Linked DNA regions of Xenopus tropicalis. The protein of the gene in region 2 interacts with the protein of the main gene of each other region in a pairwise test. Links are inferred from orthologs where the notes say so. Each region holds a gene or a part of one and is shown on either strand. Other genes may lie near its edges.

Region 1 (3,045 bases), on a different chromosome or scaffold from region 2:
CTCTCTCTCCGACAGGCAATTAGAACACAATAAATCATTTATACAGCCCTTTCATGTCTTGCACCTTCTAAGGTGATCACCCAATGGAGTCAGACCACACCTATTATATATTCTGCACTGTAAACCTATAACCCAAGGGCTTAAGCTAATTTCTCTTGGGGTGCTTTTCATCAGGTTTCATTGGATCCGATTTACTTGAAAAAATTACAGAGGTTAAAAAATGCCTGTCTCCAAGCAATCTGTGGCTATCAGAGGATGAATAGTTCAACTAGAAGGCAATCCAACACAATTAAGACAAAAAATTATACAAAAATGAGAAAAGCACTGCTTAGGTGAAAACTGGAAAAGCTACAATTTGTGTTACTTGCCAACCCCAGCAGAAGAAGCGGCTATTTAAAGGGATACACATACATGCTGCTTCTTCCTATACAAGTCAGTGGTCTATTTTCCTAATGCTGCAATTTGTCTGTAATTTTGCAAGGCTTTAAGAAAATTTCAATAAACAATGCAGCTCATTGGGAAAAAGTTTATTTATAAAAATGTATAATTTGAAATCAGAAATCTCTGGGAAGTAAGAAAGCACACAATGACAGTACACACAGTATATACAGTTGTACTGTACATTCATAGCAACATAAACACTTGTGTTTGTAGTAAGTTTTTCTGAGCGCCTACATGGCATATATATTGTGCTTCTGCATACAATAAGCCAGCTAGTGAAGAGATATATATATATATATATATATATATATATATATATCACATTGAAAGAACACAAACATATTTATATAAATATACACAAGACAAATATTTCAGGTGTAATCTGGCCTCTTCCTAGATGTAATGAAAAGCAAAGAGAGGTGAAAATAAGTAAGTAGCTAAAATGCAGCAGAAATACCAAGATCTAACGTAACATCAAGAAAAGCATAGGCAATAATATTCCACATTTCCTTTTCTGGAATATGAATGTCTCTTATAGAAGAATTTAATCAGTTATCAATGTCCATGCGATTCCTTCTTTCCTTTGCTTTGCTCTTGTCGGATCTCTGCTGCCCAGCAGAACTGCTACCATTCTGATTCTGGGCAAATCTAGCCACTGTTGAGACCCCATCAACAAACTTTGTCTTGAAGAGGACGTTGGCGTTGTTAAACATACCGTCTTTCAGTGACACCACAATGAACTGAGAATGGATGAAAAGGTGTTAAAATGAAGACAAATAAACATGTAAACCCTAAAAGGTACATTTATTTTTAGGTGTGATAGTAACTTGAGCAATTAAAGGGAAAAATGTACCACCCCCCCCCCATTTTGACATGAGCTCATACAGTTGGGCTTTTGTAGAGAGGTGTACAAAGACTAACCTAACTTCTAGTTATAAATATAAATGTACTGAACACATTTACATTTATATCTGGAAATTCAGATTTTCATGTGTTTAGGCACATTTTTACATCAATCCAACTAAATGAGCTTATATCAAAATGGGGGGGGGGGGTATATTTTCCCTTTAAGCATTGCACACACAGTTGGTGATGATGTCCCTCTTTTCAAGTTGTGTGTGTTGTGGTCTCCCTTTAAGGTGATTTCAGCAAGAGCTTATTAATCCTACCAATCAGCTCCCTCAGTTTGTGTGACTGAATATGGGCATGCCATTACCCTAAACCAGATTGCCTCAAACAATGAGAAACAAGGCTGGCACTAGAAAAACTGGATCAAATAACAAAAAGTGGTGCAGTGTTTGTTTTATTCAAAGGAAAAACATCTCAAAGCCCTTCACATCTCTTCAGTTTCCAAAGTTGCGCGACTTCAGAAACCAAAGCGATGTGAAGGGCTTTCCACTGGCGACTTCTGTTGTTGCCTGTGGAAACTCTTTTCAGAGCAGTTACTCACTCACTATATCAGCAATCTATCGCGGGCAAGTAAGTCGCTCTGTGGGTGCTTACCCTAAGGGTGAAGACACACAGAATTACTTAGTAGCAGCTAAACACCAGAATATACCCTGCCATAGACAATACTGAGAATTGCCTTATAAGTAAATGATCAGCATTGTCTATTTTCGTAGCCTTGAAAAGGCTACAAAAAGCTCTGTCTGTGTCTCTTCACCCTAAAAGGTGGACAACAGGTGACCACAGATTCCCCCCCAAAGGATTACTATGGTGAACAGCTTATCTGCATGCTTTGTTGGTGGAATTATAAACTTATAATGAACATTAAACTTATAGGAAAAGCATCTCTTGATGCCCTATTACACACTATCTTGTACTCCAGTGCACTGTAGGTTTAAGTAAAAGCATACTAAACAGTCCTGTGACTAAGCTCAGTTTACATTAATAGCTGCCCCTGCTCCCTTACCTGAGAGTGCCGGAAGTGAGTGCGAAGCATCTGTCCAATGTTCTGCGTGTGAGAAAGATCCAGGGCAGCATCAACTTCATCTAAGATGTAGATTGGGGCAGGTTTGAAAAGTAACATTGCCAGAATGAGCGACAATGCCACCAATGAGCTGAAATGAGAATATCAATAAATTGTAGTGAAACCAAGAATATAAAGATTTGTGAAAATCACTACAAGGCCTTACATAAAGCTTAAAGATAAAATGCTTGCTTTAGGTACTATATATGAATAGGTACCGTTGTCCTCCGCTCAGTTCTGTGAGATTTTCTTTCCATGTGTTGCCCAGAGCAACCTTAAACTCTAGCCCATCCAGCACACTCTGCCCTTCCGGAGGTGCCAACATAGCATTGGCCCCAGGTAACAGGGTTGAGAAGATAGATCCAAAGTCCTTATTCACCTAAAATGGATAGAGAGTGTGTATGAGCAATCATAAACTATAATTAAATGACTTTAGGAGCTGTAAGCTTTCCCTCTAACCAACATTTATGCAAAAGACAGAAGGGTTTATTTATGAGTTGCACAGTTGAAGAAAACTGCAGAAAAACCCCACTCATTCAAGGTACTTGTGTGAACATGGGCTCCTTGCACCTTCATATGGTTGCGCTTGTAGCCACTGCCTTCCCCCTGCCACTTTTTTCCAAACCAAATGCTGT
Region 2 (4,150 bases):
TGTACTGGCTGATACATTATATAGCTTTAAGAAAGGGTTGGATGGCTTTTTAGCAAGTGAGGGAATACAGGGTTATGGGAGATAGCTCTTAGTACAAGTTGATCCAGGGACTGGTCCGATTGCCATCTTGGAGTCAGGAAGGAATTTTTTCCCCTCTGCTGCAAATTAGAGAGGATTCAGATGGGGTTTTTGCCTTCCTCTGGATCAACTAGTAGTTAGGCAGGTTATATATAGGCATTATGGTTGAACATGATGGACATACTTCTTTTTTCAACCTAACTTACTATGTTACATTCTGTCTGAGGCACGACCAGTTGAACAATGGCAGACACAATGGCAAACACAGGGAGCATATGCCTGCCTTATGGTGATAGTTTTGTAAATACAGACTGGGTCTCACTGTATATAATGTGCCTGGGATGTCAGTACCCACTGCCTTTCTCACTATAAAACTAACTAAAACACATTTAAGCTAACTGATCCTAAACACAAATGGATGGAGAACCCCTCACAGAAGTGCATGTATGAATATTTTTATATCCTAAGCATGTTAGGGTGAAAATACACCCCCATCCGCACTTTTGCACAGTATCCCTGGAAGTCAGTGGGAACGGCAAGAGGTAGTTGGGGGTTCATTTTTTACATCAACAGCCAATCCACTAAGTTTCACATTAGCTGTAGGTCAGTCTATGCATGGCCCATCTTTAGCCTCCCCGAACAAAAAACTCACCCTCCGCCTATGCAGTAGAAAAGAAAATCATTTGCCAACTTAAATTCATTGAATCTCATGAATTTGCACTATTATAAAAAAGCCAACAGGCTTTGGGATATATGGCAATTCATAAATGTAGGAAGGGGATAATACCAATGACTGGAGATAGAAATACTGAATGTTGGCTTGCCAGAGAGAAATATAAAAAAATGTACCCAGATATAAACAAAACAAACGAAATAAATGGTAAATTATTTACGTGAAATTGAATAGTTTGCCATTTGGGTTACAAATGTGTGGGCCTCATATTACAGGGTAATGTAACTGATGGTACTGCACCTCATATGATTAAAGAAAGCACAAACGCAACACGTTCGCCCCCTGGCACAATACCCCTGGCATCCTTTAGTCAGTGCAGTACCCTTTATAGCTAAAGTGCAAATGAGTAGGACCCAGCTTTCTGTTTCCCAATGAGACCCTCAGCTTTCATTTCATTTAGTGAACGTTGCACCTCACACCTTACTAGTTTACGCAATGAGTTTGTATAGTGTGTTATGACCTAATAGAACCCCACCCCGCGCTCTGTTACTGTTGGTTCCCATGACAGCGGACGCTTAGTAACAGGAGAGGCGACGCATGCGCAGAGGTCAGAACGCAATGGCTTGTGGGTAAGATAGGGTTGCCTGGCGCTGAAGAGGGCTGTAGCCTGGCGCTTGTAGGGAAGTGGTGGCTGCAAGTTAGGGGAGCTGAGGGTCGTGTGTTTAGCTTGTCAGTGAGATGGACCCTGCGATTATTGGGCGCACTCAGGAAACCCTGGGGAAAGTGATTCGCAAACCTCCTCTTACCGAAAAACTACTGGGAAAACCTCCGTTCCGCTATCTGCATGATATCCTGACTGAGGTGAGCTCACGGGCTTCTGTTTCTTTTGGCAAGGGATGCTGGGAAATGTAGTTCTTGTACAAGTCAGGGCTGGAATTAGGGTAGAGCAGAGAGTACATTCTCACTGGGCCCTGGTAGTTCATGGGCACTTTGTAATAATTGTTCGATAATTTGCCTATACATTTTATAGATGTGCAACCTGCGGCCCTCCAGCTTCATGTAAACTGCAACTCTCAGCAATGTATTCCACCTTCAGCCAGAGAGTTGGGAGCAGCAGCTGATGGGCTACAGGTTGGGTATCACTGGGTATATGCTGCCCCAGCATGACTTACTGGGGGGGGGGGGGGGGGCACTATTTAGCAATATCTGCCACTTACTGACTGACTGCCATGCTGGAGATCTCTACTGTCTGTATCTCCATACCCCCTAGTTTGCCAGACTACCTACACTCTGTCTTTATGGGGTGATTAGGAAACCATATCTCTTGGATGTGTGAGATTTCAATGTCTAGGATTCCTTCCACATCGCTGGCTCTTTGGGTTGGACCAAAGTTGTAACATGCTGCATAATCTTCCCAAACCTACACTGTGTTGCTTTACATTTTATTCCTTTGTTCGGCTGATTTTATGGAAATATTGGTGCCTAAATTTAAAGAATTCATAGAAAAAATTACCCTGACATCGCCAAACGAGCAGATCTTATGGGGACTGCTCTCTAGCCAGGACCTCCGTACTGTGTGATATTTCTATCCCCACATGATAGCTTGAGAGGAGGCTAAAACACACAACTGTTTTACTTACATTACTTGACTGTCATAGAGTCTGTGCAATATTAATATCTCCAATAATATAAATGAAATAATTTGCAGTGGTGAAAAATCCAGGTCTCTGTGAAATACACATGAATCTTCTGTTTTAATGCAATGTGGCCGAGAAGTCCATGGTGGTGTGCAGAACATTTCTTGTCCTGTTTCCAGGCAAATTATGTGAATGCCCAGTAAAAGAGAAATCTGAAGTTAATTGGGCTGCATCTGACATTTCTAGGTCTGGGGAATTTAAAGGCTAATAAACCTTAGTGTGTGGCCTCCCATTCTATTTTCCATAATGTCTTTGTGCCAACACCCTTTCTGGTTGTAGGTTATAGCTTTTAGCATGTACTGCGTTGGGTAGTCTATGGCAGTGTATAGATGTCCTGTGGCACCTGCTTCATGCCTGGTTGCAGATAGACCCATATGCTTGTTTCTGTCCAGGCATAAACATGAGAATAAATCACAAACACAATCTGGGCGATTACACCGATTAATAGGTCAGTACCTTCTATCTAAGCAGTGGTGTTTTTTCTTTCTGTGTACACAAAAAGGAAAATCATAGGAATAAATCTCCCTTTTGGTTGCAGGGTATACAAGGAAGCATTTAAACAGCATATAAATATATAAATCTAACTAGGCATGCCCATTTGGTCAGTCTTGAGCTTTCAGCAGTTTGCTGTTCTGCACTGGTGGCCAAGTTGCCTTTAGATGTAATTGCACAATACAGGTATCGGACCCCTTATCCGGAAACCCGTTATCCAGAAAGCTTCGAATTACGGAAAGCCTGTCTCCCATAGACTCCATTTTAATCAAATAATTCAGAATTTTAAAACTGATTTCCTTTTTCTATGTGGAAATAAAACAGTACCTTGTAACTGATCCTAACTAAGATATATATAATCCTTATTGGATGCAAAACAATCCTATTGGGTTTAATTAATGTTTTATTGATTTTTTAGTAGACTTAAGGTATGGAGATCCAAATTACGGAAAGACCCCGTTATCCGGAATACCCTTGGTCCCGAGCATTCTGGATAATGGGTCCTATACCTGTATCACCTAGAACAGGAGCCATTTTGGAGAAACATATAATAATAGTACCAAGGTTTTGTACTGTAGGTATATGTGAGATAAACTGACGAGTAGCTATAAGAGCAAATCTAGAAAGGCAAGGTGCTGCTTTGTGCAGTCTTAATCACTTACTTAAAAATTACTTGCATGTAGCACCAGTGCCTAGTTCAGCCTGTTGCGATAAATTGCACACAATGCAACATACAGGGTACATGGATGCAAAGGAGCAGTCATGAGAGGGCTGGCCCAAAAACTTCTAAAGGTGGCCATACATGTATCAATTTTGATCTTTTGTGAGACCATTGGTCGCATGAAAGATCGTTCCCACCCTCCACTGACGTTCAGGGCTGAATCGTCAGATATGGAGGTTGAAACAATAGAAATTCTATCTCCACCTGAAGGCACCTGATCAAAATCTTTTAACCTGGCCGATCGACGAGTAGACCAATATCTGCAGCCTTTTGTAATATCGTTTGCTTCTTTGAGCAGCCATACACGCACCGAATATCGCACGAAACAAGGTTTCGTACAATATTATCGGTGCATGTATGGCCGGCTTAATGCCGCACCAATACACAGATCAATTGAAGAGATGTTATTCCTGGGTTTCCTTGGTTGTTGTGCCTATCTGTATAACTGACCACCTACAACCTAGTGAATAAAACCCTAAAGCCATTATT
Region 3 (3,520 bases), on a different chromosome or scaffold from region 2:
CAGACAGGTTGTGTACGAATGGAAGAAATTCAAGACCATTGTTACCCTACCCAGAAGTGGTCGACCATCTGAGATAACTGCAACTGCAAGGCGTCTAATAGTCTAAGAGGTTACAAAGGAACCCAGGGTAATTCTAAGCAACTGAAGGTCTGTCTCACATTAGTGAATGTTGATGTTTATGAGTCCACCATCAGGAGAATACTAACAGCAATGCTCTCCCCCCAAATTATGGCAGAATTTGGTAAAGATCATGTGGACAAACCAGAACCAGACATTTTGTGGATGAATGAAGCCAAAATACAACTTTTTGGCTTAAATAAGAAAGAAAAATGCTGCACTCAGCATTTGCTGCATCTGGGCCTGAACGGCTTGCCATCATTGATGGAACATTGTATTCTGAACTATACCAGAGAATTTTAAAGGAGAATGAAAGGTAAAAACTAAGTAAGCTTTATCAGAAAGGTCTATTTAAATATAGCCATAAGCACTCACAAAAACACTGCACTGAGTTCTCTGTCAAAAGACATGCAGCTCTCTCCTCTCTCCCCTCTCCTGCTCCCCCCTCCCTCAAGAATGCTAAGAACTCACTCCCCCCCTTAGGAATGTGGATCTGAGCCAATCAGCAGGAAGCTGACTCATAGTCTTACAAACTGCACATGTACACTTGGTCTGGGTCTCGGTGCAGGAGCGAGGCATTATGGGAACTTTCTTTACACAGCTCAGCGTTTTTTCTTCCTGTTTGGCTTCTGATCATCTGAACAGGTCAAATATGGGGAGACTTAAGGGCACTAATGAGACAACTGAAGGTATGCCTGCAGCTTGAGATTAACTCTTTATTAGCCTTTCCTTTTCCTTTAAAGGAAAAGGTCAAGGCATCTGTCTGTGAATCTGTGAAGACAATCCTAGACACACAAGTCATTCTACCAAAGAATGGTTTAACAATAAAGTGAATGTTTTAGAATGGCCAAGTCCTGACCTTAATCCAATTAAAATGTTATGGAAAGATCTAAAGAGAGCGGTTCATGTGAGGAAACCCACCAACATCCAAGTGTTGAAGCTGTGCTGTATGGAGGAATGGGCTAACATTCCTTAGAGCCGATGTGCAGGACTGATCAGCAGTTACCACAAACATTTAGTTGCAGTTAGTGCTGCCAACAGCACAGATACTGATACAGATACAATCCACTTACTTGTGGCACGTGCAGATATGTTATTGGATCATTTTTTTTCAAAAAAAATACATGACCAAATATAATATTTGTTTAACTAGGTTTTCTTCATCTACTTTTAGATATTTTAGGTCACATTCATATAAAAATATAGAACATTTTTAAAGGTTTCGCAAACACAAACTTTTAAGCACTACTAACCAGGTAAACATTGAAACTAGGAGTCCAGTTCAGGTTTGGTCCATAATATTTTTGCTTGATAGTGTATTTATCAGACATGGAAGTGTCTTGCTAGAGTCAGTAATGTTAGCTGCTACATATTAGCTTCAGGGGGTTGTATTTCCTCTTGTAAAGGAAAAATAAATAAAATGACCATCACTAACGCCATTTCTGCAGTTTAAAAAAAATGAAAACTGAATATTAGTTGCTGTGCGATTTTCTGATATAGAATTCTGCCTCTATTAGTATCGGTGCCTCTGCTGTAATGTTGTGCAAAGATTTGCTAGAGGGCACTACAAGGCTGGCAAACGATGATGCCTTTGTATGTATGTATGTATAACTTTATTTATAAAGCGCTACTTACAGTATGTACGCAGCGCTGTACAGTAGAATACATTAATACAAACAGGGGTATTAAAATAGATAAATACAAAGTATTATATTACAATAAGCACAAGTGCTAAAAATGGTGAATGTCCCCCAAATAGTAATGAGGGTGCACAGCTTTGTCTGTAGAAAATATTGGGGTTTGATTAGGTAACAGAGATAAAGAAAATTATCCCTGTATTATTAACTTATCTGCAATTATATGAGAAAACACTTACATCTTTTCAGGTCAGTAAGACTGGAGCTGAAGGTTCAGTTTTGGATGAAGCCAAGAATATCAACAAATCTCTGTCTGCTCTGGGAAATGTGATTTCTGCCCTGGCTGAAGGATCGGTAAGGGAGACCTGTGTTTAGTAAATGTCACTGAAGTCCATTTGATCTTTGGGTATAAAACCCCTAAATAACTTAATCATTTGTATAAAAAGAGTAAGTGTTTTATAGTATGATTCACCTAGCAATTATCCATTCTGCGCAGTTTCAATATACTAAGTTACACAGGTATATTTTAGAGAGAAAAAGTCCCTCAGAATAGACTGTAATTCTAGAGACTGAGGTGCCCCAGTGCCTTCCAGTTGGGGGCTATCCAGTTTCAAGTGTCCCGTGAATGCAGCCAGAGTCAGCTATTGGTTAGGGCAGAAAAGGAATTTATGGTGGGATTACACCAGAGGAGACAAGTCGCAGTTGTATACTGGTTGTAATTTTTAGTATATATATCAGTGGTGTCTGACTACATTTCTGTTGGCGTATTATATATAGTAATTCATAATATGTCCATTTATAGTTATTTACCTTTGTATTTTAGAAAGGTTATGTGCCCTATAGAGACAGCAAGATGACTCGAATTCTTCAGGACTCATTGGGTGGAAACTGCAGGACAACAATGTTCATCTGCTGCTCTCCATCCAGCTACAATGATGCAGAGACTAAGTCAACGCTGATGTTTGGACAGCGGTAATTTTTCAGTGGGGGTTATTAGGAACACAAAACTGAAATGGTTATAAAAACTGGAGGAATCATGGAAAGGAATAAATGCCTATTGGGAGTGGAACAAGAAGGTTGGCATCAGCACACATTAGGCATATGGCAGTTATACCTGGCAACTCATGGTCTATGGCCAGTTTCTGAGAGTTTAAAAAATTCAGAGCTGATTCCTCTGCTTTGACTTTAAGGGATTCTTGTATAGATTGGGAACTTTGACCAGTGTAGATGTAGGTCAACAGAACAGAGCCAATACAACTTTAGACAAACCAATACAACACTACTTATTATGGATTCTTAATTTGTGGTGTCCAAAAGGGTTACTATGAGTGATGTCTTCATTTAATTCCTAACCCTAAACTGTTGTTTAGGGCTAAGACGATTAAGAACACTGCATCTGTCAACCTGGAGCTGACTGCTGAGCAGTGGAAGAAGAAGTATGAGAAGGAAAAGGAGAAGAACAAGACTCTGAAGGAGACTATCCAGAAGCTGGAGGCTGAGCTCAGTCGCTGGAGGAATGGTAAATTTTAGTTTCTTGAAAATGTAACACAAACCCATCACTAAGCAAATGCCAGTTTATGTTTTAGATGCTATAAATGATCATTTTCGTATGGTGAGGAGTCTATGTTTTGTCCTGAATTTTTGTAAGAAAAATAGAATTAATCCTACTACTCGCTTCATTTTATTGATATTTTGATATTTCAAATTTAGGGGAAAATGTACCTGAAACCGAGCAGCTGAGTGACGGGGAGCAGCTCACCCAAGAT

Evidence for each region.
Region 1: the proteins of traf3ip1 (region 2) and smc2 interact in a two-hybrid assay, tested with the Homo sapiens proteins (2 studies listed by BioGRID and IntAct). The link is inferred for Xenopus tropicalis from reciprocal best matches to the Homo sapiens genes TRAF3IP1 and SMC2.
Region 3: the proteins of traf3ip1 (region 2) and kif5a interact in a two-hybrid assay, tested with the Homo sapiens proteins (2 studies listed by IntAct). The link is inferred for Xenopus tropicalis from reciprocal best matches to the Homo sapiens genes TRAF3IP1 and KIF5A.

The regions. Positions count from the first base shown.
Region 1 is NC_030677.2:107,826,271-107,829,315, forward strand, and holds the end of smc2 (structural maintenance of chromosomes protein 2), read right to left. Parts: intron 2,790-3,045; coding exon 2,629-2,789; intron 2,502-2,628; coding exon 2,354-2,501; intron 1,182-2,353; coding exon 990-1,181; 3' UTR 513-989; downstream 1-512. UniProt on the Homo sapiens protein: Central component of the condensin complex, a complex required for conversion of interphase chromatin into mitotic-like condense chromosomes.
Region 2 is NC_030685.2:60,707,992-60,712,141, reverse strand, and holds the start of traf3ip1 (TRAF3-interacting protein 1), read left to right. Parts: upstream 1-1,342; 5' UTR 1,343-1,489; coding exon 1,490-1,612; intron 1,613-4,150.
Region 3 is NC_030678.2:140,715,349-140,718,868, forward strand, and holds part of kif5a (kinesin heavy chain), read left to right. Parts: intron 1-2,003; coding exon 2,004-2,108; intron 2,109-2,577; coding exon 2,578-2,726; intron 2,727-3,124; coding exon 3,125-3,273; intron 3,274-3,464; coding exon 3,465-3,520. UniProt on the Homo sapiens protein: Microtubule-dependent motor required for slow axonal transport of neurofilament proteins (NFH, NFM and NFL). Can induce formation of neurite-like membrane protrusions in non-neuronal cells in a ZFYVE27-dependent manner.